Oryzias latipes: one gene and its partners. The protein of the gene in region 4 interacts with the protein of the main gene of each other region in a pairwise test. Links are inferred from orthologs where the notes say so. Each region holds a gene or a part of one and is shown on either strand. Other genes may lie near its edges.

Region 1 (6,819 bases), on a different chromosome or scaffold from region 4:
AGTTTCATCAGGCGGAGTCAGCCCAGGGGGGAGAGATCCAAATTTGTCTGGAGCTCCCTCCTGACTTCAAAGTTGTTGTTGTGAAAGGTAGCACTTCCTGTCCGTCTTTAATTTAATGTTAGAAACGCATTTCATGGTGCACATGGACTACCAGGTAAATGATACCGTCCTAAAAGTAAACACAATGTTTTCTTTTGTAGGAGAGCAGACAACTGAGTATGCAGTTTGTTTTTTACCCCCTTTGGTCCTTAATTTTGAGCTCCCGGGAGACTATCCATCTTTGTCTGCGCCGGTCTTCACTCTCAGCTCTAAATGGATGACCAAAGCTCAGGTAGAACTCGTATCCGCTACATGATTTTTCTAATAAGGAATACTCTGCACATATGTTTGATACTTCCTCTGCATATGCTATGATGATTTCTGACATAGTGTTATGTCTGTTTACATGATTATGAAGTACTTCATCTTTGTCATGTGATTCATTGATACTTAAGGACTCTTAATGACCTGAAACTGCGTTTTTAAGGTATAAATATCTGATTAGAAGTTATGAATCAGATAATGATGTAAAGACAATGGTATGGTAGAACAATTTTAAAAATCTGCTTCCTTCCACTCCCTTTTTAAGCAATCTATGATTTAATGACTAATTGTCCTATGTTTGATACATCTTTGTATGGATGTTAAACTCTGATTGTTTTTTTTTGTGCATTGTTCTTGCTTTGTTGGAAATAAACAATTTCCAAATCCAAAAATCTCTTTTTTTAAAATAATTTACCTCAGAAAAGAAAGCTTAAAGGCACACTCCAGTGAAAATAGTGTTTTTTAACATCTATATATCCTTATATCTAAGGAAAATTAAATTAAACTCGCATTTCTCATCATGATTAAAAGACCACTGGGGGCACTTTAAATACAGCTCTAAAGATGATGGGAGTGGTACTTTAAGGGTTTTAAATGGAATTGCATTCATACAAAACAATCTTTGACTGTACTCATCCTAGCACTTCTCTGCTGGTTACAGTTGAGCACTCTTTGCCAACGCCTGGATGAGTTATGGGAGGAAAACCAGGGCTGCGTGATCCTCTTCACATGGATGCAGTTCCTTAAGGAGGAGACCTTGGACTTCCTGGGCATCAAATCTCCTCTTGAAGTCAACAGGAACAACACAAAGCTATGTGGTGAACGAAGAAAAACTGATCCCACTGCTGCAGGTAATGCATATTTATTGAAACATCCTGTTTAGAAAATAGATATTTAGTTATGTTAATGATGAAGAATGTGAAGTTTCTCCTGTTGATTTTTTTTTTTGTCCAGATGTTACAAAATGTGACAGTAAGTCTGAAGTAGCAGAGAATAAACCAGAGATAACAGACAAGCTGGGACAGCACCCTTCTAAGCTTGACCCCCGCGCTGTGGTGTTGATGGACCCACGGGCTGACCCCCTACCTCAGCTGCTGGACTTTGATGAGGCGCAGCGGCAGAAGGTCTTCGACAGCAAGGTGTTCTGCTGTGGGATCTGCTTCTCGGAGAAGCTGGGCTCCCACTGTCTCTGCTTTAAAGAGTGTCAGCACGTGTACTGCAACGCCTGCATGACTGAGTACTTCCAGATCCAGATACGGGACGGCAATGTTCAGTGCCTCAATTGCCCTGAGCCCAAATGTACCTCATTAGCCACACCGCTGCAGGTATTCTAGTGAAACAGAATGTTTTGATCTAGGAAACGTCATCCACATTGACCTCTGTTTTTTATTCTATAATAACTTTTTTGATCTTCTCATCTCTTCATATGTCAGGTCAAGCAGCTTGTGGATGAAGAGCTGTTTGCCCGATACGACCGGCTGCTTCTTCAGTCCACTTTAGATCTCATGGCTGACGTGGTCTACTGTCCTCGTCAGTTTTGTGGCACAGCCGTCATGGTGGAGCCAGACACTACGATGGGCATTTGCTCGGCTTGCCAGCATGCATTTTGCACCATGTGCAAGCTTGCTTATCACGGTGTCTCCCACTGTAAATTCCCTGCAGGTAAAGTGACGTGGAAAATGAAATGTCCGTGTAAATGGTAGGAAAACAAATCTTGTGTTTATGTTTTTTTTTCAACCCCTTTACTGGCGAGACCTAAATAACACCAACTTTGTGACACACCGTAACTCTTCAAGTAGCAAAGCAATTTTTCTTAGCTCCAGAATCTTCTGGAATGTTTTCAAGTGTTTACACAATGAGCGTGATGTTGGGTTATTTTAAACGCTAATTGTGTAAACAGTCTAAAAGTTACATTAGTCTACAAAATGTAAACGCTGGAGCTGAAGCTCCAATGTAAAATGGTAAAAAAAAAAAGGGGGGGACAAAGATAAAATTATTTTAGACCTTTTAATATCTTCTCAGTTTCTTATTACATTCAAAATCCTTTGACTTTGTCTGTCAGCTACTGGAAAAAACTTAGTTTTGGGTTGTTGTAAATCTAGTCCCATAATATTTCTCTTTCAGTTATCTTAATTTTCTTTCCAATATGCATAAACGGCAGCTGGGCAGCTCAGTTGGTAAGGTGAAAGACTGCCACGCAGGAAACCAGTGTTCAATTCTCATGGGGAATGAACAATTAATTAATGGCAAGCAATGGTAATGGTAATGGGGCAATGACCATATCAATCGTAAGCAAGGCAGCTTAACACTGCTGCCTCCCAAGCGCGGCTCGTCTGCAGCTCACCCCTCCCCCAGGGGATGGGTCAAAATGCAGAGAAGAATTTCCCCATTGTGGGATAAAAAAAAGAAACAATTATTATTAAACAAGATACAAATCTATTCATCAAACAATATTTGTTCTAGTAGGTATGTTTTAAAGTAAAATACCTTACAAGTTTTTATTTTATTTTTTATCTTTGTGTCTAAAAGGTAGAATGTAAACAATAAAGGTTAACGCCTCCCTTTCTTTCTGTTTGATCCTTCAGAGGAACTGCGTAACCTCAGAGACGAGTACCTGTCAGCCACATCGGAGGGGAAGAAGTTCATGGAGAAACGCTTTGGGAAACGGGTGATCCAGAAAGCGGTGGAGGAGTCTTTCAGCAGGGACTGGCTCACGGAGAATTGCAAATGCTGTCCCAAATGTGGAACCAACATACAGGTAGGCTCCCCCTGCTAGTAGCTCTGGACTTTGCCTCTACGAGCAGCAGGGGGCAGTGTTGTCCACTATTTCTCATTTAAACTAAACAGAAATATACAGTGTTGGAGATGGATTTGGGAAAAAAAAATAACTACAACTCTCACTCCAAAAATCTTTTGAGCTATGTTAAAAGTGTCCATAGTGGTATTTTAATTGTTATTATGCTGTTTTAGCCAAAATGTAAATGGACATAGTTTCTGCAGAGCAACAGTAGTTCATTAGAAATTCGCCTCTGAGTCGTGGGCAGGACTGTTGGTGTGGAGCAAGTCTGCCCTTACTTCCTGACATCCCTTTATTGACACTCCCCCCAGCCTCTCACACCCCCAACCGAACATTACCAGTAGAAAAAGAAAAAAACTGTGAGCAATATTGGAGCTATCCAGCCGGACAGTTTTGAGTCAGACACCAACTTGGACGAAGAAAACAAAGAGAAAAATGGACATATTTGTCTGCAAGGTGATGCATATGCTCTCTATCATCAGAAAAATGCTACAGGAACCTGTTAAAAACACAATTTTCATTGGAGTGGGTATTTCAATATCCAGTTAAGGAGGGACTCATTTTTTCTTTGACGCTTCAGAACTTGGTCATCAGTGTTCCTCATTTCTTTGTTTTTGTTTCTCCTTAGAAAGTTGACGGCTGTAATAAGATGACCTGCACCTCTTGTAAACAGTACTTCTGTTGGCTGTGCTTGGGCGTCCTCAGCAAAGTCAACCCATACGGTCACTTTAACAACCCCCATTCACCCTGTTACAACCAGTAAGTCACCAGTTTGTGAGAGACTTGAAACATTTCCACGCACATGTGTTTAATGCGGTCTCCCTCGTCTGTTCCAGGCTTTTCCAGGGTGTGGACGTAGATGATGACGACAATTTTTGGAGTGACGAAGAAGACTGAGCCCCTCACCCTTCCAGTGCCTCACTGCTATTTGAAAGCACTTTATTTCTTACATAATCACCACGTCATCTGAGACTCTGACTTCAAACATGTCGTCTCTGTGATGCCACTGTGAGCACATCGTGTTGTTCATGCTAAGAATGTGCGACAAAATCAACACCAGAAACATCCCCTACCTGGGTGATTGTTAAAGAAACTTCAACTACTGTGGTTGTTTTGGATACTTATAGACACCATTTAGCATTTTTAATTCATCATAGATCAAGGAGAGACTTGCATATGAAGTTCTCTTATAACCCTTGGTATTATGGCACTGGGTTAGCACTTAAGTCCAAAGAATTTTTCTTTTTCAATGACGTTTAATAGCTTTTTTAACGAGTTAAGCACTTCTTCATGCAACCTAATGTATTACTGGCAAATAAGAATTAGGTCTGTTCCAGGAAAAGTAAAAGACTTTGGCACAATATGACATTTTTTATTTTGAAATTAGACATAGACAACATACTTGCAATCAGCAAAGATATTTATTGCTTTTTTTTAATGTGATCTGAAAGAAAAGCTATTATGAAAGATGAAACGAAATCAAATATTTTTTTTTTCTGAACTTGAAACTTTTCTTCATCTATTCCTCAATAATTTGTTGGTCAGTGTTGGTTCGGACTGGATAATACAATTGCATTGTTACCTTACTTTAGGTCACTTCCTGTTTTAATTTACAATGCAGGATGTTCACCAAAATAAAAGTTCCAAGTTTGCCATCATTGTTTGTTTTTCATTTTCACAATTGCAATTGTTTTTTTTTAACTCAAACTCATTAAGGAAAACAGCAAATCTGAGAATATTGACCATCATATTCATGTGCAAATGTCTTTTTTAGGTTTAACAGCAGCAAAACTTATTTATAAAACGTCTTCCCTCTTCAATGTTCCACATTTTAAGCTAAAAGGAAGCGGTTATTATAGCAGCGCCTGCAGGATTGTGTTTAACATCTTAAAAAAATATATATATATGACCCCACAGTGCAAAAAGGACAGTCGGTGGTACACTAAATGTGAGAATAAATTGTTTTAAAAGGATTATTACATTTTGCTCAATATTACGGAAGTCCTGTGTGGAACATCAGAATCCAAAATCCACCCTACAGAAGTCAACTCCAGGTGTTTGGTAACATCTGGACACCTGAAAAACCACCCCTGTTTGCTCTAATCCAGAGGTTAAGCTGTGACACAGAGACACAATGACACACAAAAAGAAACAAAGAGCACACGTTGGAGCCTGAGACTGAATAGAGTCAACATTGTGTCATCCCTTTGGCCAGAGTTGCTGACAGAGGAGAACCCTTTAAAATAGGCCCCTCTCTCCTGGCCTGTTCTGTCCCATCCCACGCCTCGTGCTCTCTGCTCGCACCCTGAGCCCCCTGCCCATCTTTGTCCATAGATGCTGACTGACCGGTGGGACATTTACAATGTCCATTAAAGACGCGCCTGCTGGTGGAAGCACAGGAAACGAGCACCTGCAGCAGCTTTCCAACCCCTTCTCCTGCATTCTACGAAGCTGGAAAAGGCAGGTCAGTGTGAAGAAACTCTGCTCTCACGTTAGAATTAAAATGGTGAGAGATTTAGGTCATGAATGAGATCTATTGTTTTAGATAAACGGTTGAGTTCTGGATGAACACAGGAGGAACGTTTTTAGATGAGAGTCACGGGCCGATGGATGTTTCAACCTATTGGATCTCTATTGGAACTCTGTAGAAGCATTGGATCTCTATTGGATCTCTTAATGAAAGCAAAAGACTTTAGTACTATTGACTATGAAACATTCAGACATTTTTTTTCAATTACAGGTTAGGTTTCCACAAAAAAACAAAAATCTGTTATTGTAGAAATTGTTGATTTATGACTTTTAGGCTGTCAAATTAAAAAAATCAATGGAAATACATTAATAAATAAATAAATTAAACGGGTAAAAAATAAATAAAATCATTACTATAAGGCAGTGCTTTTCTATTATTTTTTTGCAACGCCCCCCCTAGGAAAAAGAAAATGTTTCGCAACCCCCCAACACACTGGCTGCGGTGACTATTAGGTTAGTATCTATAAAAATTGTGTAAGTATACCTAAAATTGTATCTTTTAACACTAACAAAAGAAAAAAGGAATATAAATCCAATTTTAACAAATATTAACTTTATTTAGCCACACAGAAACCCTGTTCTAGTCTAAAACAGAAAAAAGCTTAAAGGGCCTGAAATAAAAAAATCTGTCATTCCTTATTTAAACTAAAAACATTTTGACCATCTGAACCATTTGATGCCGAGAAAAATAATTCAATTAATAATATTACATGTAAATTGATCTGAAATATTAACACAGGAGCACCAATAAATTTAACGTTTTTAGTCTGAAGAAATAGATAAAAAAACATTGTGCTAATTTTTTTTCTAAATGATGGATTTTTTATTTCTGATCTCATAAAGTGCAGCTGTTTTCCTGCATTACCTGCTGTCTTTATGTACAATACCGACACCAACTAAACCACAGACAGACAAAGAATACATTTATGGAAAATAAAGACACATCATCAAAATATCTACAATAGTTCATAAAGAATGACATTATTAGCATGAGCTGAGTAATATATAGGCACACCATGATCCTTGTGTTGCGCAACAGCGACAGCGCTCTGCGTGTGCGTTCCACCCTTGCAGCCTGAGCCCACTACCCCTCTCCTTTCGTTCTCACACACGCAGCCGCGTGTGACGGG
Region 2 (7,757 bases), on a different chromosome or scaffold from region 4:
CTATAGTTTTTCAGCTATGTTATCCATTCAACTATTAAAACGTTCAGCTCGTTCAGCTTTTTCCAGCTGTGACTTTTGGTCCTTCAAATCCTTGAACTTTTCAAGGGTTTTTGCCTCCATTGAAAAACACGGGGAATCCTTTGCTTCTTTCTGTGTAGGAGCTCGCTGGTTCGATACCCGGAGCTCGCATTATTCACAGAAATATATTTTTGTTATTGTGTTGTTCTCACTTTATTTATGGTCAACTTTGATCATTTCTCTTTAAAAAAAAATTATTTTTTTTGCCAATTATTACCCTTTAAGTTTCATTTTCATTCAGCATTAAACTCTGCATTTTCTTCTAGAAATGCAGCTCCTTCTAGCTTTATCTGTTTTTGTTTTTTAGTTCTCTGTCTACTTTTTCCCCCCTATTGTTGCGTCTATGTTTATGAGTTTGTGTGTATTGTTTCTGTTTCTGCTCTTGTCTGCCTTCTGTTGTCTTTTCTTTGTTGGCTGAACTTGTCGTGTTCCTTAGGGACCATCAACCTGTTCTATGGGGACTAAAGATGGAAAATAGCCTGATAGGCTCTAATCTTATATAAATTAGCTTTACTGTTGACCGGCTAAAAGCCTGATGGTAAATGACAGGACTTACGGGACACGCTGAAGCCAAACACACTGTCGTATTCGCCCATGAGCTTCTTCAGCAGGGTGCTCTTTCCCGCCCCCGACGGGCCACTAAACACCAGGGGCCTGGGTCCAGCCATAGCTGCAGGAGAAGGAATAAAACACAAACCGCTGAATTCTTTTCATTCTTTCCAGACAATCCGAGGTTCCAGCCAGAGAAACCGGCCAAACCGGCCTAACGATCGTCATCTTTATCTCCATGTATTTTTTTTTAAATAGAATAAGAAACTCAACAAATATTGACATCATATCTTTACAACAAGAGTCGAGAGAACAAACCTCAAAAGCTAGAAAAGAAAATCCTCTGATCTTTTTGTTTTATCATGTCTGTTTTGTCAAATATTGTCAACAACAAAAAAAAAAAAGCCCCACAAACTCTACTTTACCTTTTCACCTTTCCTGAAATCACGCAGCACTTGAGCAGACGGAGGGAAATGAACGGGCGGACTTATATTGAGTCAGGATGGGAGGGTCACTGACAGGGTGGGGCTGCCTCTTCCACGTCAGCTTCAGCTTTCTGTTTCTTTTTTTTCCTATTGTAAACACTACAGCAACTGCGTAAAAAGCTGCTGCGTCAATGTTTTTAAATAGATATGCGGAACCTGCTCAGCAGGTAAAGCCCTTTTCATCATTAACATTAAAAAAAAAGACTTAAACTCTGCTTTAGTCCTTTAGTCATAAAACATCCTTTTAGTTTCCCGACAGAAACAGTTTAAACAAATGAAAGCACAGGTGCCCTACGTTTTACTGCAATTTGATTTATTCAAGCTTCAACAGTTCCAGTCGTGGACTGAAAAATAAAGAAATGTAGGTTTAAATCTAGTGTCAAATGACTCAATTGTGTTGTTTTCAGGTCACATTTAGCGAACCAAGTTTTTAACACAAGAGAAGCCCAGGAAAAAAAAATCCCAATAATTATTTATATATATTTAACCACAAAATACAGAATCTACAGTCGATGATCAATGGTTGCATCCAATTAAGATGAAAATATATATATATTTGGTGCATAGTTAAGACCTAGTTCTGCTCAAGACCATTTATTTCTCTAAACTTAAGTTGTCAATTAGAAAGATTAGCTTCTGATTTCCCTCAAACTGTTTTCCAAAAAAAAAAACCTTTCCTACTTAGAAGAGGCTGACAGGAAATGAGAAACATGTGAAGCTACGATCAGCACAGACTGACTCTCATGATGAACGCACAGAGAATCATGTGATCAGATTTACAACCAAATAAAAATCACGTGAAGCCTACAAAGCACTAGCGGCTCCGTGAACCAGAAAGGCTGAGCGTCACTGTCAAATTCTATTGGACATTTTTTTAATCTACATTTCAGTTTACATGACAGTTTGGTTAAACACTGTTAACACATAACTAGTGATTTAACCAAATCAAAACACAACTTTCATTAATTCAATGAGAACATTTTACGTAAAAAATTGACAGAAAATGTTTGTTTTTTATATAAAATTGATTAAAATGAGATGTTATCAATCAATGTTAAGTACATGTTCTAAGAGAAGATCAATTGATTATCCTTAAGAAAACACACAGAAAATACACATGTATTGCATTACAGATGTCCTGTTTACTTGAATGTAGATATTATTGTGGCAAAGTAATAAACTGATTTTATCTCTTGGGTTTGACGGTTTTCTGTTAATTTATTTCTTTAGTATCTCACTGGTTGGTTAAAAATATAATATGTTAAATGTCTGTTGTGTCAAACTGCACCAATGTTGTTTTGCTCCGAATAAATACCATTTAAAAATGCTCAACAGATTATCAGACTTTTCAGTAAACCAAAACCTAAAAAATTGGTTCCAACTTAAATGTTTTTTTTTGTTTTTTTTTTAATATTGCAAGGTATGTAACATCTCACAGATATAAGCTTATATTCTAATTCTTCAAAATGCACATTTTTAGTGACAAATGGTAGAAAATGCATTAATTTGCATGAATAAGCAAACTGGATATCTTATAAATATTTTTAAAAAAGAAGAAGAAAAAAGAAAGACAATTTTGTTAGTGATGTAATTTTTCTCCCAAATTACATTTTACAAAGGGTTTCCTAATTTAAGTTGACATTAAACAAAATAGATGATACTGGACGTTTTTATGCTACTATCAAAAGTTGTATCATCCATCTAGGATTTATATGCATCCTGAAATAAAATAAAACACCGGTTGACTTCTTGGGCACCATCTTTTCCTGTAGCTCCGTGACAACAAAGTGTCTCCAGGAATGAATAGTGGTTCCGACACAGAGATGGGAAAAAGAGAACAGAACAGCAGAAGGAGGAAAGGAAGTCAAAAATCCTCATTCCTACCTGAAAACAGTCTGATAAAATGTCTCATGTACATCGGGAGGCAGGTTTTTCTGATTCTGCAGACGGTCCTCGGAGCATTTTCTGCCTCCGCCGCCCTTTTCCTCACCGCGAGACGCCTACGTCATCACTACGTACCCAAACACGTTACGTCCGCGCGCGCCACTGGACGCGACCAAATGAAATAAACAAAAGGAGCAGGAAATGCTCGTTAGTCGGGAAAAAAGTTGTATTGCTTCTATTTGCAGTAGTCAGATCTTTATTGCTGAGGATTACAAATCTACCGTTTTAAATTTTTTACTTAAATAAAAAAATTGTTTGTTGGGTCTTTGCAACTTTAAGCTGCGCGCGCGAGAGTCCAGCTTTAACGCTCTGCTCTTTGTCGCGTTGTTGGGTTGTTTGTTTGTTTGGAAGTTGCTGTCGAAACAAACGCAGCCGTGTGGGTTTCTTTCGTGGAAACTGGGAATCTAAACTTCCTGGATGAGTCCACGCTAACGGCCCGCACCGACCACGCAGCTCTGCTAACCAACGTAGCTGCTAGCTAGCTAGCTAAGTGTTACTTTTCCCCCCCGAATCTCCACTTTTTTGCCCTTTTGAAGATGTTTGGTTCATCGAGATCCGGAGGCATCCGTGGAGGCCAAGACCAGTTCAACTGGGATGAAGTGAAGGTCGATAAACACAGAGAGAATTATCTCGGTAAGTCCATAACGTGCAGTCGATTACGCTATCAGCGCGTGCCACACATCCAGGAAAGATTAGCTCCAGATGCTTTTAAACCCCGTGTGGCCCCCCTAAAATTAGGTTGTTTTCCTACCTTTTGTTATTGAATTCCTCATTACACAAGGCTTGGCTTGATCTAATAGCTTGATATCAATCCCGATTAATCTCCGTAAAGAAAGCAAAAACGTGCTGTCAATGCCTCCTCTGGTCGACACGTTCGTTGTCTCTGTGCCCTCGCCGCTGCCAGCGGGTCAGCATGCCCAGAGAGAGCTACGTAGTGATCACCACAGTAGTCGGGACCGAGAAACATGTAACAAAAGCAAATCGACAAGCTCTCATAGCTGCTTAGATTTCTGAATGTTGTCTGTGTAAAATATGAGCTAAAACCACAACCTTTCAGGTGCAAAGTCAAACAGAAATGAGGCTCAAAACACCCACCCTTAACATGGCAGGAGACTGTTGCCTTATGTGTGGATTGCCTAAATACTTGGAATTAAAAAAACAGTCTAACAACAAGACTGCACTTGTCTATAATGAGATATTCTAAAAGACAAAGTTTACTCAGCTGGAGGAAGTTTAAAACATTGATCTGATATCAATTTTACAGCTTATATTGCACACTTGTATATACTGTTTGTTTGTTTGCTTGTTTGATTTTATTATATTACAATGTTATCTTTACTACTTTTCCCTTCCTTACTGTTCTTGCACTGATGGTGATGCTTAAATCTCATTGTACTATGCACAATGACAATAAAGCCATTCTATTCTATTCTATTCTATTCTAATTTGATTCTTACACTTGAACCTTTATGGGGGAAAATGCAAAAGGATACATCTACTGGAGAAGTCTGGACTGCTAATATTTTCATTTAAATGTGTGTAACCATGATCATCTTTAAAAGTCAAATAGATTTATTGAAATGATTATTTGGTGCAAAACATTAAAACATCTAGATAAAAGAAAAAGTCTAAATATAAAGTATAACAATCCTGCATAATACATTTTGTATTCTGAATTTGTGGCATTTGAAATGTAGAATTTAAAGAAGAACCTTTACCTAAATAGTTTGACCTCTTCTGCGTTTTTTCCAGGAAACTCCTTGATGGCTCCCGTAGGACGATGGCAGAAAGGGAAAGATCTGACCTGGTATGCAAAGGACAAGAAAGGTGGTGCTCCTTTGTCCAAAGAAGAGGAGCTTGCTGCAGTCAGAGCTGCAGAGGAGGAGGCACTGATGGCTGCCCTGTACGTGCGACTTCCCATAAGCCATTTCCTGTACCTTCTTGAAGATTAGGACACAAAAAGTGATGCTTTGCGTTTCTTGTTCTGAACTTAGAGGCCATAAGAATATAAAGAGACAACCAACAGGGCTTACTAAAGAGGTATGGATACGTTGCTGGTCAATATTGGAAAAATTGCTGTCAAGTCCTGTAAGTTGAATTTGATTTTTTTTTTCAGGATCTTGTAGAGGTATGCCGGAGAGAAGAGGTTGATGGTGAAGAGAAGGATGTGGATCGTATCTCAGGTTTAGGAAGCTCAAGGTGAGATTATCTTCTTGTCTGTGTCATAAAACAGATTTTTTTTATGCAAAATGTTTGCTTTAGGAAAATTTCAACTTTTCTTTTTCTTATTATAAATGCAATTTGCTTGAACAAATGTACAGAAGTTATGTTTAATTGTCCAAATGACAAATGGGAGTTTGTTAATAGTTTTTTTTTTTCTAGTTTATACACTAAAATGAGTCAAATGATTTGTTAATCAGGTTGCTGGTGAATAATATTCTTGGATATTTCATGACTTTTCTTTGCAGTTTTAGGTTTGGCAGAATTCAACCTTCTGTTCAGAGGAGATAAGGTGACTGGCTGTCTGTGGTTTGTTTAAGTTGACTCCATCTTTATTTCCCTCTAAAGTGCAGGGTCACGAAAAATGGTGCTGTCCCAAAAGGAAAAGGAGGCGGCTAAAATGGGTCTGCAAATTTTTACAGTAAGTCGTCTTTCTACATCATCCATACTGCCATTTGGAAACATTATTGTATTAAAACAGCATTTTTTAATTGTCAAAAATTAGTAGTAAATATGTGTTTGATTTTTAATTTTTTAACTATTGACTTTATTAGCATTAGTTATTTAGCAATATTGACGAGGGTTGAGTATGGCAAAAAGAATGAGTCGATTCAGGACTATATGATTAAATATGAATCACTTAAACTTACAAATTTGTTTTTTTTATATATATATTGTAATTTTTTTATACTTAACCCTAAGAAATACTCTAATCTAGAAAAATAAAATTCTTGCTGACGTTTCAGCATCATAAGACTGAAGGAGGCCAAGAAACATCAGCAACAACAACACAGAGTTCAGTGAAACAAGAAACTGAAGTCCGGTGAGAAAAGCGTTTATTTAATGACCTTTACAATGTACAGTCTCTTATCCAACGGTATGTAAGGGGAGGAGTAAATGAATAAAAATCTACTTACTGTGTCTTTAATATTTAGACGTGAAAGTAAAAAGAAGAAAAAAGAGAAAAAGAGCAAAAAGGCAAAAAAGGAGAAGAAGAAGAAGAAAAGACAAAGACAGGATTCTTCCTCTTCAGAGTCAAACGACGACTGCAAAAGGTTTGTCAAAGTCTTCATTCAAAACTGTAGAATTTTAAAAAAATGTCATAAAAATGAGTTTATAACAGGGACAGATTTTCACTGAAGACACCATGACTACATTTCCATTTGCACACTTCTATGTATATCTATCTACCTGACAACAAAGTGTGTTATACAAGTCAAAAATAGGCGCTAACACGTTTTTAAGAATACAATCTTTAAAAAGGAGAACAGCATTCTTTCAGCTGTAAATATTAGCATTTCAACGCACAATACTTATATATTCAATCCAATGAAAATGATGTTTTCGGTGTTTTTAACATGTTCTTGTAGCATTTTTCTCATGATGGAGGACATATAGAAAGAAAATTTATCTTAAAGCTTGGAGAAAGCTTGTAGTTTGATAGAAACTACAGTCGGCGAGCCACAAGCTCCCTGCTCCGCTCCATTCAGATGCTGACAAATAGATCCATGAACGTCTCAGTTTTCCACGTCTGAGCTGTAATCTGGATCCAAACTGTACGTATGGCCAGCTCCAATATGGCTCGCCATTTCTGTTGCACTGCTAATGTTATCTTGGGGTTGTGAGAGCTGTAAGCTAGCTGTGGAGAGTGTAAACAAAGGGATGATGGGAAATCAGCACTGGCGTACCCCCACTGGCCCACCTGCAAGGCAAAGGCCAATTTCTGTGGAAAACCCTTCCGCTGTAGGTTTCCATAACCATTCGGTCTGCAACAACCGTTCTTAATGTGCTGACGTCACCTTATGTGATTGGCTGTCCGTTGGTCTGATGACGTGTCAGATGGTGATTGGTCTGGACAAATTACGATACTACCATAGAAGAAGATATTTCTGTTGTAAACAGAGCTACGTCATGGAGTAAGATAATCTTCTGAACGTGCTTTTATTATTGTTATGATTATCATTAAGTGCATTTGCAGCCGAACGGACAGCGTTCCGAACCTTTCCCTGCTTGCAAACACAAAGCTACGAGACTCCGGCTGCTCTGCTCAGAGAAACGGTTTGCATGTGTGGAGCAGCCGGTTCATTCTAACAGCCACAGATCTTTTTATAAAGTGGGTTGTGGCCAAATCTCTCTAGAAACACTACAAAGAATGTCAGACACTACTTATGAAGGAAAAGAACTTTATGTTACAAAAGGAAATGTGAACTAAAACGCTACGTAGTTTGTCCAAGTGGGGTTACCGTAGTGTGACGTTATCCTCAGTCAAATGGACCCCAAACGGTTATTGCAGGCCGAATGGTTACAGTACCTACACCGCTCTGCAGAAACTATGTCCTAGAAAACGAGACAGGTTTTTTTGATTTGGCTAAAAATGGCTTCATCGGAATGAGTTGAACTGTGCTTTATGGTAAACATGCAGGATGAGTGTTAAACACATCAGAAGTGGAGGTTTGTGAGGATACATATAATGCTGCTGGA
Region 3 (7,845 bases), on a different chromosome or scaffold from region 4:
TCTGCCATGAACATGTGAAGAAAAGAAAAGCTAGAAATACTAGAAGGAGCAGGTTGATGCAACAATACTGAATGAAAATGAAGCTTAAAGAGGAATAAATGGCAAAAAACAAGAAAGAAATGATCACAGTTGAGCATAAATACAGTGAAAACCGCACCATAACAAAAAGATATGTTTGTGAAAAACGCCAGAGCCGGGTATCGAACCAGCAACCTCATGCACCTCATTCCCCATTTATTTCAATGGAGGCAGAAATCCTGGAATATCTGGAACAGTTCTAGGATTTGAAGGACCAAAAGTCAGAGCTGGAAAAAGCTGAAGGAGCTGAACATTTGAATAATTGAATGGTTGAAAAAGATGAAACACTGTGGGAGGAGCTAAGAGATAAAACACGGAGGAAGATACTAGAATAAAGAGGAAAACTATGGTTGAATACTTTATAGATTTCAACCAATAATTTGACAGATTCTGTCAGACTCTTATTTTCGTCCCCATCGGGTCATAGTTTTGTTTCATTGGAGGATGACGCCCCCCCCCCCTGTTCTGTTCAGTACACAAACCTGTTCTGATCCAAACCGGGTCAGCAGTTCTGTCATGACGAACACCTACGGGTGACGTCCAGCAGCTTCTGGTCCCATCATGCAGCGGGGCGGGGGCGTCCGTGTTCTGACCCGACAGCACCGGTCGCGCTCTGATTCCCAGTTTAGCTCGTTCACCTGCCCCCCCAGATATAACAGGTGTTTGCTCCGTGCTTCACAGGCGCGCCCCCCAGACATAACAGGTGCTCAATGCAAGTCAATCAGAGCAGAACAAGCCCCTCCCCCTGAGCCTGACAAACTCCAGAGTTGAACCAGTAACCGCTTTCCTTCCTGGAGGACTCGATCAGACGTGTTCCAACAGCAAAGGAGTCAAAACATTTCATGACCACCCAGAAACAAAAGTTACTTCCTGTCTTTTCAGGAAGCCCGCCTACTTCCTGTCGCTCAAAAAAACCCATAGAGACTAACCACTAGAGAGTGGCGTAAGGACGCCGACCGTCATCAGAGCGATGAATACGCAGGACAATGGTACGTTCCATTTTCACTGTCCAGACGAGCCTGAAGGGAACGGAAAGACACGCCTGCACCTGAAGACGGAGCCGCTCCTCTCTGAGACCCGGACAAACAAAAACCCGTAGCTCTCCATTCGGTCACAAGAGTGGACAGCAGAACCCGTCCTGAAGAACGTTTTCCATGGATGGGTTCTGATGGTGAACCATGTTTTTGTGAGGAGACTTACAGACGTGTAGAGGAATCCCTCGGCGTTCATGGCCACGTAGAGCCCCGCCTTCACTCCCTGGATGGCCACGACCCTCAGCCCCACAGGGATCAGGTTGAAGAGAGCTGAGGGCGACAAACAGAACCGGGTCAGCAGCAGCTTCCCGCCCGCCAACGCACGCGACCCACTCAGCGGAGACAGCAGCGCCGCAGCAGACAGCCAGAACGAGGCGGAACGAAACGGGACCGCGCCACCAGGCGATTGGCTCCTCAGAGACGGAGCTGCTGCGTGGGAGAGGAGGTGGAGGAGGTGGAGGAGGCCTGTGGCCGCGCTGCTGCTGGTCCTCCTTTATTTAACTCTGGTCCTCCTCCTCCTGGCCTCCTTTTCGGCTCTTCCACAGCGGCAGAGGAGGTGGGTCTGCAGCAGGAAGCAAAGCTGAGCGTCTGCAGATCAAGGATCTTCATCTGATGAGGAGGAAACACCAGGAGGGAACGTCTCCTGATGTTTCTGTGGGCGGAGCCATGAAAACGTCAGTGTGTGGGTTGGAATTGGATCTAAAATGATTGACCCTCCCATTGGACCAAACTGTGGCTGTCTGAGGCCAGGGTCCGGTCGGACGGCGTGCCGGATCAGAGGACACTGAGTGACACGGATCTGGGTTCCTTCAGTCAGGTGGGTGTGGCAGCAGGTGGGTGTGGCAGCAGGTGGGTGTGGCAGTGTGTGTGTGGCAGCAGGTGGGTGTGGCAGCAGGTGGGTGTGGCAGCAGGTGGGTGTGGCAGCAGGTGGGTGTGGCAGTGTGTGTGTGGCAGCAGGTGGGTGTGGCAGCAGGTGGGTGTGGCAGCAGGTGGGTGTGGCAGCAGGTGGGTGTGGCAGCAGGTGGGTGTGGCAGTGTGTGTGTGGCAGCAGGTGGGTGTGGCAGCAGGTGGGTGTGGCAGCAGGTGGGTGTGGCAGCAGGTGGGTGTGGCAGTGTGTGTGTGGCAGCAGGTGGGTGTGGCAGCAGGTGGGTGTGGCAGCAGGTGGGTGTGGCAGTGTGTGGCAGCAGGTGGGCGGGGAACTCACTGTGGTCGCTGTTCTCGTCTTTACAGCCGCTGATGGTCCCATCAGGCAGCATCTGCAGGAAGAAGCCCTGCTCGCTGAACAGACGCGTCACGATGCCCTTCAGCTGCGGCTCTGCAACAACAGTAACACAAAAGACATGAGGGGGGGCACCGCAGACTCCTCCCACCTGAGCAGCTTCCCGCCAATCACCCGTTCACCGTCCTGTGCTCAGGGGGAGGCTTAGATCCTCTGATGGAGCTGCAGCAACAAGACGCCGTTCCTCCCTGCAGAGCTATTTTTAAAGGTGCGCTGCACACCGCCGGGGGAGGAGCCTCTACTGATCCGGACAAGCTGATGGGGTGAAGATGCTGAAACAACGGCTGCTCTGCCATTTCTGAAGCTCACCTCAGAGTCCAGGAGGACGCAGGGCCACGCCACCAGGAAGTGAGTTACAGACAACGCCACAAACGGCTCCGCCCACAAATGAGGACACACCTGAAGTCTATTGTGAGCCGGTATGATGGGTATTCTGACCACGGAGGAAGAACTTCCACGGTGAAGGAGCCACAGAAAGTCTGAAAGTCTAAGGCGGATCCGCTCATTCCTGGTCCTGGAGGTCCAGCAACCTGACTGTTGTCCAGATCTTCAAGTCCTGCTAGCTGCTGATTAGCTCAACCAGAAACCTCCACCTTCTGTCTGAATGAACACCTGGTCCAGGTAACCAGCAGCAGGCAGAGAGCTGGAAGAGATCTGCAGGACCAGGAACCAGCAGCCCTGCTGTAAGCTGTGGTCAGAGGACGGGGTGTCTCCCCCTGAGGCGGGAGGCGCCGCTCCCCCTGAAACTCCGTTTTACTGACACCAAACCCCAGAAAGACGGCTACACTGAAAATATTCTGATTTTGAGTCGCCAAAATGTTCAGAATGTCTTTTTTTTTTAAACCTATCTGGAAATAAAGCTCCACATCTGTCATCTTCCAGCGCGGCTCTAATAGACAGACAACTTTAGTGTTTTTCCTTTTTAAAGTCATAAATTTACAACTACGAATAAAAAAAAAATCCTTTTTTGTTTGTACACCTGCCTTAAGAGTCGTAGTTCCAAATATAAACAATTTTCAAAGGGGGTTTATTCAAATATGCACCTCATGTGTCAGAAGATTGTAGCAGTGAAATCTGTCAATCAAAGAGCCGTCAGCTCTGATCCCGTCTGTCTGCTCAGCTGTTGGACAAGAAGAAAACACAACAAGAGGACTTCCGGTGTGACGACGAAGGAGCCGAGCCGCTCTGCTGCAGATATTACTGCCAAAAACTGGAATCCACCAGAGAAGAAGTGGATAAAGACACAGGAACACTGGAAGGGAATCAGCTGGGAGTGACGGCTACCAAACCAACGGGACCAAACATTCAGAGACGAACTTTCTCCTGAATCCTTAGAATCCTTCGCTCCACAAAGTCCCCCCTCATTCCACGCCAGACATTTGTGTCACAGTGGATCCGTGTCTGATGACGTGAAAACCCCAGAAAGTTAGAACAAAATGGAGGCGGGGCTCTAAAGTAAAAGCCCCCCACCCCCTCCCCTCTGCTTCAACGTTGTCGTGTCATTGGTGTGCAGGACGACTTGCAGGTCATCGGGGGGGCTCCACCGTTGAACCTCAGAGGCCCCCCACCCCCACTGAATGGACCGCCCCCCTTCCTCATCAGGACCAGCTTCCATCAAAGGGAACCGGGACCTCCTTGCTGTCCTCCTGCAGGAGGTCCAGCTTCGTCCCGCTTCCCACCCCACCGGTGTCCCTAGCAGATCGAACTTTCCCATCATGCACTGGTGCAGCGAGCTCACCTGTGCCGATGCTGGTTTCTAGCAGAAAAACAGACGCTGTTCTTCTGGACCGACCAGAGACGGTTCTGGACCCACCTGGTTTCCGGCGCACCGGCCGCTTCTTCCCGCTGCAGAAGCGAACTTTTCTGAAGACGCTGAAGACGTGCCGCTCGCACAGCGAGCGCGGGTCTTTGCTGGGACTGGAGCGCCGCTTGCTGCTGGCGACTTGGTTGTTGTTGGACTCGCGGGCCTGACGCTTCTGCCGGATCAGGGAGCTGGCGATGGCCGCCGCCATCTCCCACCAAGAACCGGCTCCAGGTTTCAGTCCAGAGCAGAAGACAGCGGACCATCTGAAGGGGAGTCAATCAGAACCGAGCCACGGTGGCGCCGAGCTGCAGAGGCGAGTGCTGAGCACCCCCGTGAGTCGCCAGAAGAGTCCCGACCTGCTGAAGCGGTAAAATCCTGTCACGTCCCAGAGCCTCAGCTATCGGGAATCCAACCGTCTTCTCAGAACGGTTCCGCTTTGACCTGCAGAGAAGATGATGGTCCTCCGAGCTGACGGAGCGTCTGCATGGATGAATAAATGAAGAGCAAAGCCTTCTGGGTAGTTTTGGTCCCAGAGAACTCGTGTCTGCAGAAGCTGTTTGGATCTTCCAGAACCGTCTCCTCTCTCCAGAGGAGCTCAAACCCGGAACAGAAGTTCTGAAGGATCCCGGAGCAGAGGAGGCTGGCTCCTCGTCCTCCTCTTCCTCGCTGCTGAATGTGAAGAGAGGCTGAGAGGCAGAGGGAGGGGGGCGAGTGGAGGAGGAGGAGGAGGAGGAAGACGCTCCTATAAATATTCTGCTCCCACATCCCGATGCTTCATCACACGAACGCGCCACGGTTCCACGCCTCAGGACGGTCCTCGCCGCCTTCACGTTTGGAGGTGCAGAATGTTCACTCTGAGGTCCGTCACATGAAGGTCAAAGGTCATCATTCAACCCTCATCCTTTCCTCTTTTCACTCGTTTGGTTTCAGTTTTCACTAAAGAGAAAATGTTTTTCTTTCAATATTTGTGATTTTTTAAGATTAAACATCAAATAAAATGATTTTTTGTTTAGAAATTGATCTTAACAGGAAAACAGGTTTATCAAACAAATGTCAATCATCAATTAGACATAAATGTTTGCATTTATCATATTATGTTATTATTTTAGTCTACTATCATCATTTATTTATGTCATGAAGATTGCCCATCATTTCAACCGAATGTTATTTGCTGTCAAACCATATTGGATCTGCTCCATACCAGGGGCGGAGCTACATGGGTGGGGCTACATGGGCGGAGCTACATGGGCGGGGCTACATGGGCGGAGCTACATGGGTGGAGCTACAGGGGGCAGCCCCCAACCCCCCATTTTTGAGTGAGTATAAGCATCAGAAACTGGATTTCAACATTGCCAACAGGAAGCAAACTCTCGGTTCTGCCGTCCTTTTCCTGTTTCTTTTTGTTTCGTTTTCTTTTTTACATTTCATTTGGAGAAAAATTCCTTTTCTTTTCTTTTTTTGTGGAATTTGGTTTTAGATCCTAAATGTAACCTTGTTGTTTTTGCTTTCTTAGTGGCAGCAGTGACCTCTATTACGTTTTTGCGTTGAGTGGGTTGTTGGTGTCACTGGCCCTTCGGGGCCACCATAGTTTAGCTGCAGATAGAACCCGCCCACGGCTTAGAGAAAAGGTTCTGCCTGAAGGTTCTGTTCCTCAGCATATACCAACAACATTGGATCTATGCTGATCAGCATTTTTCTGAGGAAGGGCCACAGCCAAACCCCTGTGGCCCCTTCAGGTCATCTGCGGGGCACGCCGCCCCCCATCCCATCAGCCTCACGTGGAAGGTTTTTACTGACACGCTGTTTACTAAACTGGGTCTAAAAAGTCAAACTTTTTCATGAATTCTGGCCTCCATCAAGGTGAACCCTTCCACCAGCTGTTCCTTTGGAACCCAAAAGTTCCGCTAACACTGCGGGTTCTCCTGGGGGGCCTCCTCTCAGTGGGACCCGCCCAGAACAACTCCGGGGGTCTGAAAGACGTGAACAATCCACTTCAACAGGCCTCTGGATGTGGAGGAGCGGCGGCTCCACTCTGAGCTCCTCGTCTTCCTGAAGGGGAGGCCCGCTTCAGGATCCTGATCCAGAGCTGATCCTGATCCAGACCTGATCCAGAGGTGATCCTGATCCAGAGCTGATCCAGAGCTGATCCTGATCCAGACCTGATCCAGAGATGATCCTGATCCAGAGCTGATCCAGACCTGATCCACATCCAGAGCTGATCCAGATCCAGAGCTGATCCAGATCCAGACCTGATCCAGATCCAGACCTGATCCAGAGCTGATCCACATCCAGAGCTGATCCAGATCCAGAGCTGATCCAGAGCTGATCCACATCCAGAGCTGATCCAGATCCAGAGCTGATCCAGATCCAGACCTGATCCAGAGCTGATCCACATCCAGAGCTGATCCAGATCCAGAGCTGATCCACATTCCAGAGCTGATCCAGAGCTGATCCACATCCAAAGCTGATCCAGATCCAGAGCTGATCCTGATCCAGACCTGATCCAGAGCTGATCCAGATCCAGAGCTGATCCTGATCCAGACTTGATCCTGATCCAGAGCTGATCCACATCCAGAGTTGTTCCAGATCCGGAGCTGATCCTGATCCAGAGCTGATCCTGATCCAGAGCTGATCCACATCCAGAGCTGATCCACATCCAGAGCTGATCCTGATCCGGAGCTGATCCTGATCCAGAGCTGATCCACATCCAGAGCTTATCCACATCCAGAGCTTATCCAGATCCAGAGTTGATCCAGATCCAGACCTGATCCAGATCCAGAACTGATCCAGATCCAGAGCTGATCCAGATCCAGAGCTGATCCTGATCCAGAAATGATCCAGAGCTGATCCACATCCAGAGCTGATCCAGATCCAGAGCTGATCCTGATCCAGACCTGATCCAGAGCTGATCCTGATCCAGACCTGATCCAGAGCTGATCCTGATCCAGACCTGATCCAGAGATGATCCTGATCCAGAGCTGATCCAGACCTTATCCACATCCAGAGCTGATCCAGATCCAGAGCTGATCCAGATCCAGACCTGATCCAGAGCTGATCCACATCCAGAGCTGATCCAGATCCAGGGCTGATCCACATTCCAGAGCTGATCCACATCCAGAGTTGATCCAGATCCAGAGCTGATCCTGATCCGGAGCTGATCCACATCCAGAGCTGATCCACATCCAGAGTTGATCCAGACCCAGAGCTGATCCTTATCCGGAGCTGATCCTGATCCAGAGCTGATCCACATCCAGAGCTTATCCACATCCAGAGCTTATCCAGATCCAGACCTGATCAAGATCCAGAGCTGATCCAGATCCAGAGCTGATCCTGATCCAGACATGATCCAGAGCTGATCCACATCCAGAGCTGATCCAGAGCTGATCTACATCCAGAGCTGATCCTGATCCAGAGCTAATCCAGATCCAGACCTGATCCAGAGCTGATCCAGATCCAGAGCTGATTCAGATCCAGAGCTGGTCCAAAGCCATCCAGGTTCCCACGTCAGGTCGACAAACGGGGTCCAGGACGTCCATCCAAACGGAACCAGCTACCATTGAACAACCACAGACGTTTAGCTTGAAGTCCACAGACGCTGAATTCTTCTCCCTGAAGACGTTTGGTCCAGATCGAGGTTTCTGGTCTGAAAC
Region 4 (7,262 bases):
GTAAAATTAATTTCATGTCAGCTATGCATCCAAGCAGCATGAGGAATGTTGCACGTCTCCAAGTTGTGTGAGTTGGTTTCTGACAAAGTGGTAACAGCATTTTAGTCTGTGAGCAGGATGTGGCTACACAAAGTCCAGATTAATTACTTTTTCTTATGGTCTTCTGGCTTTCTGCACACAGTGTCATATCTTGTCAAGGTCCAGACTTCCTTTGCAGATATCCTGCTCTGTCTTATTTTCAATTGGCTGCCGGTTTTATTCACATCAAAATGTGAGTAACACTTCCTGCCTGGCCATGCTTGCGCCTGAGCCATTTGATCCACGGCTCGTGTTTTGTCCAAGTACATACGAAAATGTTTGGTGAACAGCTGTCTAATAGAGTTGAATTTCCTCATCGGCCACAGATGCAGTTGTGTTATTTTCCATTGGTTAGTTCCCACACATTTGGTTCATTTGGCTGCCTTTGGTCAGATGTGACTGCAAAGCAGAGCTCAGTAACAGCTTGCTAATTGTGTTTCAGACCTTCTCTGTCACTGATGTGGGACTGAGGTCTAAAAAGGTTGCTTTGCCCCTGTTCTCAATCAAAGATAATCAGATTAAACAGTGCAGAATTGTGTGTGTGTGCGAGTTTGTGTGCGCTCACCAATAAAGGGACCCCAGATTTGGAGACAGCCTTGACTCCTGCTGTTTGCTTTGTTCATTAAGAGGAGATGAGCAGATGGTTTGCTGGTCTGTTGTGCAGTGCACACACGCAGACACACGCACACACACATGCAAATACAGGAAGACACATGCATGCTCAGTCCTGTCACCTTAGCTTTATCCTCCATTTATCTTTTCCATTACACATCTCTCAGCAGGACAATGCTACTCATTGAATTGTGAGGAATGTGTGTGTGTATGTGTGTGTTTATGTGACACAGTGACTGTTACAAGGGAGCATGACAGAGGAGAAGTAGCACCGGATGAAGTCACCAACGCTTTCAGTAAGCCAGCCTCTGAGGTGATTTTAGCAAAACCCGGTGACTCATTCTCACACATTTCTGTAAATTCTTACAATTCACTGGAAATATTTTCAGGAAGCACTTGTCCGTGTCAGAGGCTTTTTTAAGTCCCGCTCCACAGTTTGTCTGATTTTGCTAAGGAAACTGAGACATTTTTGACAAAGTTAAATGAGTAGAAACCTGAAGATTAATACGTAAAAAACTTTAAGATAACATTTTGCTGACTCCAGAACAAACTCTAATGCATTCAATTGGACTGTTTTTCAAACGCATTCACACTTTTTGTTTCTCTTTCAATCCTTTAAACTTACACATACTCAGATATTCATTTTAAGATTGTGTAATAACCATCATTTGCTAGACTGTAGTTTGAAAGCACTAAAAATAAAGACTCAGCTTATTATTGGTGCTACAAAAGCCAATGTTTTGAAACACACATATACAACATTTTAAATGACAGCTTGAATCGGGCTGCAGAAATATTCAATTCGATGAACGGCATTCTCAAAATCAAAACAAATTTATATAGAAATCTTGATGCAAGTTGGAAGAAAAATGTGATTGTTATCTGTAATTAAACAGGAGTAAGCTCAGTATCAAGTTTAGGTCTCTTACATCAGCAGGGCACTGTTCTGGTCCAGTTAAGTTTGGGTTTTTGGAGGGTGTCTAAGGTCATTGTGTCCCAGAATTATACCAACTCCTGCTGCTGAAAAGGATCCCACAAAAAGAGCAACTCTTAATGTAGTGTTATTGTTTTATTTTACAGATAGCCTATTTAATTTAATATTTGTATTAAAAAAAGCGCTCTACGAATCCTGAATAAAACCATCATGTTGTCCCATTTACAAAACAAATTAGTTTTGTCACTAGTAAAAAAAAAATCTTCTGAGATCCTTATGGCCTAAAACAGGGGGTCTTCAACCTTTTAACACAGAAAGAGCCATGTGGAGCAGTTTCTTTCTGACCAAAACCCAGCGAGAGACACAACGCCCCACTTAACAGTTAGAAAAATACAAAGTTTTTGTGGCCATTAAGCCATTCATTTGTATCATATACAATATTGAATTATAACAGGATTAAATTTGTCAACAAATGAGAACTTTAAAGTCTTTTAGTTTTCCCAGTACTGCATCCTTTTAATATTCAACCCCCCCGTGTCAAATAAGATCCTCCTTTTGCAATAGATTTACTTGAATAAAAAATTAAAAAAGCCAAATCAAACATGGTCAGACAGTAGATTAAACCTTTTTCTCAGTTATTTAACATGTTAAAAATCTAAATATAAAAGGCAAAATTTAATTAATTAGCATAAAACTACAAACCCATTATTTATTCAAATCATTTGCATGTTTTTTTCAAAGGCAAAGAGTCATAACAGAGGGCTAAAAGAGCCTCAGGTTGCAGACCCCTAGCCTAAAGGAATTACAGAAAAATATTTCCACATTTATAAAAACATAGTGTTTGCTTTGCTAAAGGAGACTCAGAATGATCCACAGTTTAATCAAATTAGAAAGGTTTTACGTCAAAATTCTCTTTGCATTGCAAATCTATTAAACCAAAGGGCACTTTCAATGCCAGCCAACAAACCGACAATCTTCCTGCCAATATGTCAAAAAGGGCATGTATGTTATTTGGAAGAATATAATCGATGCATCCTAATTTTCCACACGTTCACATACATTTCTTTTTTGCGCTATACCAACACAGATAAAGTAGAATTTATTATAAATTTGTGAATAAGAGGTAATGCTGTAGATTAAAAATGTTTAAATACATCTCTAAAATAATATTTGAACAATAAAGTTAAAAAAAAAAACTAAATCAAAAGCATCACTTTAAAAATAAAGAAACAATGAGCAACACAGTTTATGAAAAATGATCTGTATTGTTTGTATTGTCAAACTGCACTACTGCATAACATACACAATAGAGGTCATTACCTGAATGTACAACATGCAGTTAGGATTTTCTTTTTTTTACCATAATAATAATAATAATAATAAAAGTGATCACTATATATATGTACACATCTCTGTTACAAGTTATTTTCATCACCTGTGTCCAAAAAAAAAACTGCACTGACAACAAACAACTATGATCTTTATCATCTAGTAACTATAAACCGTGATTAAAAGAAAACACAGCCAAACACAACATCAGAATAAAGTTCTATTCCAGTTGGGATTTGAAGGTAAATGCAATAAATTAAAGAAGAGAACAATGATTAAAGTTCAGGTGTCACCCTTGAAATGAGGAGGAAGCTGGAGAATTGTTTCCCACGTGCCACGGTGGGTCTGAGCGTGTCTGTCAGCTATATTGGTCATAATTGAAGAGTCTTCATCGCGCTCTGCTCCGGTCTTTCCATTAATCATTCATCTTTCCACTGCTTTAGCTTCTTCTCAGAACAGTCCGGTGGTCTGAAGGAACACTCTTCCCTCTGAAATCCCCCATGCAAAAAAATAACAATGTTACTCAAAACACTCAAATGTTGATTAAAAAAGAAAGAGATAACGCAATCCTTTTATATAAACTGTGGAGAAGGTAAAAAAAGCAGCAATATTCACAAAGAAGCATTATAAAGTTCAAAGTGATTTTTCTGCCCTGATGCCCATATTTGGAGGAAAAAACTTCCTGGCACAAAGGAACAACATCCTGGTTTGCTGTCTGACAGACAATTCCCTCTTAAATGATTTATTACTGGGTGTTAATTATGCAAATGATGTCCAAACAAACTCGTCATGAGGACAATTAAGACAGCCATTAATTAGTGGCCAGTTCTCTTCTTGCTTCACTGACGTTCAATTAAAAATTGCTTTTGAACAAGCACACTGTCTGCTTTGGTGCTCCTGGCAGAGTCCGGAGCAGAGGTGGGCCGGGACCACGCACTCTTTTGATAAGGCCGAGCCAGAGATCGCGGCCGTTTTTCTGTCTGTCAAAGATGTGGCAAGTGGGATTTTCCCATTAAACTGCCCCTATGAAGACAATAATGCAGGCAAAAATAAACATATTAAAATGCCTGTCTCCATTAAAACAGTCGCCCCAGTGAACTGCCTCATGCTTCATTGCATTTTGTTCAATTTCTCAGGAGCGAGCTCCATGTGAAATCTTTCAAAACCCTTCCAGCAGACTGGTCAGTTAGGCATCAAAAGCAGTGAGTAGGTGAAATAATGAAATCTGTTGTCCTAGCTCAGTCAACAGGAGCATAATAAATCTCAGGCAGCAGGTTTACTGCTATTCTTGCCGTAAAATTGAATTTTTTTTCATAACGGAAGAACCAATTCATCACTGCCTACAATAATTCTTGCAAACTCTGTGTAGTGTTTCACAAGCGCAATAGTCTTCTGAGCTTCAGGGGCTCTGTTCTTCCATGAGTAAATATAGAATATCCTTGTTAATCTAAATGTGAGGCTGTCCTCACAGCCGCACACGGATTGCAGCAGAGTTTGTCACCTGGACAGCTCTACCTTGTACTGTCGCCTTGCTGTCCAGCCTGCTGTCGTCGTGGCTGCTCCCGTCCACGTCCTGGGTCACAGCTTCTGTGTGAGGAAGGACTGCGGATGATTGATGGCCTGCAGTTTGGTCATTAATTAATAAAGACCCTTAATTAGAGGATGATAAGCAATCAAGATAAAGTTGCTTTGAAAGTTTGTTGACATTCAAGATGAGGATTAAAATAATTGCTGTAACGTTAGCTGAGGTTTGGAGTCAAATGAGAAATATAATATGTGGAATAAAAAAAAAAGGATTCAGTTTCTGTACCTAAGTGAGTGTTGGCAGTATGCAGCAGGCTGTGCTCGGCCTGATCGCGCAGCTTGACCTCTTCCTCAAGGGCTTCTTGAAGTCGCCTCTTGCTTCTTTTTTCTTTTTTGAGACGCTTTTGAATCAGAACTAAAAAAAGAAAGAAAAAAGATTTTTAAAAAAAGCAATAAAAAAGTTATTTTCTGTGTGGTTTTCCTTTTGATGGTGTTCCTTATGACACTTCTCAAACACCCACTCCACTGAAAATCGTGTTTTTGGTATTTGTAATGTATTCTTGTGGCATTTTTACATGATGGAGAACATTTATAAAGAAAATGAAGATTAAATAAGATTAAAATTGCATTTCTGAGTATTTCTTCATTCAAATTGCAGACGAACAAAGGTCATTTGTAAAAGCTTGAAGCTGTGATAGGTGCTACAGTAAGCAGGCCACCAGCTCCCTGCTCCACTCCATTCTGATGCATCCACTGGCAGATGACTAAATAAATGCATGTCTTTATTTTCCTCGTCTAAGTTGGTATCTGGCTCAAAACTGTACGGCTGGATAACTCCAATATTGCTCGCTATTTTTGTTGCACCACTAATGTTAGGTTGGGGTTGTGAGGGGCTGAAAGCTTGCGGGAGAGAGTGCAAACAGATGGAGGATGGGAATTGAGGACAGGCTCACTCAGCGCCTGCAGTCCTGCCCCCATATTAGAGGCAAATTTCTGATGAACAACTCTTGTTCTACAGAAACTATGTCCTAAAAAATGACACAGGTTTTTTGATGCTATTATTATGCTGTTTTTGCTAGAAAAACGGTATTATCATGATGTAAAGACCATGGGGAACACTTTTACAATAGATTAATAGATGATTGGACTGGGACTTTAATATCTAACGCTATTTTAAAAAAAGCGATTAAAAAAACCTTTTAGAGAGTTTTTTTTTTTTAAAGTGGCTTTATTTGTTTATTCATTTTAAATCCTTTCTTCTATTTTAGTTTGGAACAGTCACAGCTGGAATTTGATAGGTTGGGAATAAACAAGGAATTTTAAACTGCAAAAACTATGTGACATAAAAGAAGCTCTTCTCCACCTGATGTAACATCAGGAAAAATGTCCTTGACTGGAATTTGTTCTGACGCTACCTTTTGTAAACTTGGCAAACTTGATTTAGTTTGACGCTCACTGCCAACTTAAGCCTAATTCACCTCTGCAGCTGCTTTGAGGGCTAATATACAGTGGGTGTCCTCACTTCCTTATCTGATTTCCAACTTAATGGACACCCTGTCAGCTCAGAAGTGGATTAAACCAACCTTGTTTAGCAGCACAGCAGAATTGTCAGAGTTCAGGTGTTAAAACACGTGCTGCGCCAGTGTGGATAAATTCAACAGACAGCACAAAGTTTCTCGTCATCGTGTGGCGTCCACATGAAAAACAGTTTTTTTTCTTATCTTGTTGAAACTTTGATGCACCTCTATTTTTCTGCTCCATGCTCAACTGTCTTTCCAGGGTTTCCCTGAGCTCCCTCTCTCGGACAAGCTCCATCTTCAGCTCCGTCCTCTCCAGCTGGTCCTGCTTCTCCTGCGCCCGGGCATTCTCTATGGCGACCCTCAGCAGGCCCTGCTTGGAGTCACACAGGCGCACACCAACAGGTTACATGCTGGACAGGAGCCAAGAGGTGCTTCATCAAAGAGACGTGTGCACCTCAACAAAGGCACTGTGTTTTCCAGATAAATGGACAAACTAAAGCATCGGCTTATGGTAATGGGAATTAAGTACGGTAAATACTCCCACTGTGGAAATATCCGTTACTTCTTTGGGCAATATTTCAGTTTATAGTTTGACTTTTTAATGCCTTGATGAAAGTCAACGCTGATCCTTTAACAACAGGTTTAAAAAAAAAAAACAGGAAACTGCTAACACATTGAGGTCACATGAGGTTGTTTTCCCCCCTCCCTGTGAAAATCTGAGTGGAGAAGGATTTTATTGTGACTGCGTTACAACAAAGACGAGTAAAATCTGAGAAACAGGTCAACACATGCCCAACCCAATTACTCCAAATGTCTGCTATTTACCATTTCAGGAAATCCCAGAGGGCGGCTCATCTCTTTTCCTATTCATCTTAAAAATATGATAACAATAAAGCCCCAGCAGAGCCTCACCTGGATGTTTGTGAGCAGGGTCTCTATGGAGGACAAGCCTTCCGGGAAGATGAAGGGAGTGTGGTGAAGACCTGCTGGGAGCTTCTGTCCTGCAGGGTAAGATACCCTCTCGCAGCTCTCCTTGCCTGATGGGAGCTTTTGGTCAACTTGTCTATCACAGCTCTCCCTGGTAGACTGTGCAACCAAGTAGCTGTTATCTGGAGGGCAGAGAGACAGTTTGAAGTCAAACAGTGAGGCTGAACTACACTCCTGACAGAATGCGTCAGGAGTGTAGTTCAGCCTAAACTACTTGCACACTCCTCAGAGTAAAAACATTATAAATGTTCATTTAATTTAAAAAGATCAAGTTTTCA

The links.
Region 1: the proteins of dachshund homolog 1 (region 4) and rnf14 interact in binary tests that used the Homo sapiens proteins (3 or more experiments, as listed by UniProt). The two-hybrid records come from large-scale screens. The link is inferred for Oryzias latipes from reciprocal best matches to the Homo sapiens genes DACH1 and RNF14.
Region 2: the proteins of dachshund homolog 1 (region 4) and c17h1orf35 interact in binary tests that used the Homo sapiens proteins (3 or more experiments, as listed by UniProt). The two-hybrid records come from large-scale screens. The link is inferred for Oryzias latipes from reciprocal best matches to the Homo sapiens genes DACH1 and C1orf35.
Region 3: the proteins of dachshund homolog 1 (region 4) and fibroblast growth factor 12 interact in binary tests that used the Homo sapiens proteins (3 or more experiments, as listed by UniProt). The two-hybrid records come from large-scale screens. The link is inferred for Oryzias latipes from reciprocal best matches to the Homo sapiens genes DACH1 and FGF12.

The regions. Positions count from the first base shown.
Region 1 is NC_019872.2:6,684,752-6,691,570, forward strand, and holds the end of rnf14 (E3 ubiquitin-protein ligase RNF14), read left to right. Parts: coding exon 1-87; intron 88-200; coding exon 201-331; intron 332-1,024; coding exon 1,025-1,214; intron 1,215-1,317; coding exon 1,318-1,688; intron 1,689-1,796; coding exon 1,797-2,025; intron 2,026-2,948; coding exon 2,949-3,121; intron 3,122-3,788; coding exon 3,789-3,919; intron 3,920-3,996; coding exon 3,997-4,057; 3' UTR 4,058-4,818; downstream 4,819-6,819. UniProt on the Homo sapiens protein: E3 ubiquitin-protein ligase that plays a key role in the RNF14-RNF25 translation quality control pathway, a pathway that takes place when a ribosome has stalled during translation, and which promotes ubiquitination and degradation of translation factors on stalled ribosomes.
Region 2 is NC_019875.2:27,888,730-27,896,486, forward strand, and holds the start of c17h1orf35 (multiple myeloma tumor-associated protein 2), read left to right. Parts: upstream 1-3,137; 5' UTR 3,138-3,592; coding exon 3,593-3,689; intron 3,690-3,807; coding exon of another isoform or gene 3,808-3,829; exon of another isoform or gene 3,830-4,129; intron 4,130-4,774; exon of another isoform or gene 4,775-4,808; coding exon 4,809-4,959; intron 4,960-5,050; coding exon 5,051-5,096; intron 5,097-5,172; coding exon 5,173-5,255; intron 5,256-5,624; coding exon 5,625-5,697; intron 5,698-6,022; coding exon 6,023-6,099; intron 6,100-6,211; coding exon 6,212-6,331; intron 6,332-7,757. Other genes in the region: guanylate kinase, read right to left, coding at 635-748, 2,997-3,030.
Region 3 is NC_019871.2:567,409-575,253, reverse strand, and holds the start of fibroblast growth factor 12, read right to left. Parts: upstream 4,871-7,845; 5' UTR 4,404-4,870; coding exon 4,205-4,403; intron 2,428-4,204; coding exon 2,317-2,427; intron 1,383-2,316; coding exon 1,279-1,382; intron 1-1,278. UniProt on the Homo sapiens protein: Involved in nervous system development and function. Involved in the positive regulation of voltage-gated sodium channel activity. Promotes neuronal excitability by elevating the voltage dependence of neuronal sodium channel SCN8A fast inactivation.
Region 4 is NC_019873.2:18,571,828-18,579,089, forward strand, and holds the end of dachshund homolog 1, read right to left. Parts: intron 7,107-7,262; coding exon 6,910-7,106; intron 6,371-6,909; coding exon 6,220-6,370; intron 4,893-6,219; coding exon 4,764-4,892; intron 4,574-4,763; coding exon 4,455-4,573; intron 3,442-4,454; coding exon 3,373-3,441; 3' UTR 2,869-3,372; downstream 1-2,868. UniProt on the Homo sapiens protein: Transcription factor that is involved in regulation of organogenesis. Seems to be a regulator of SIX1, SIX6 and probably SIX5.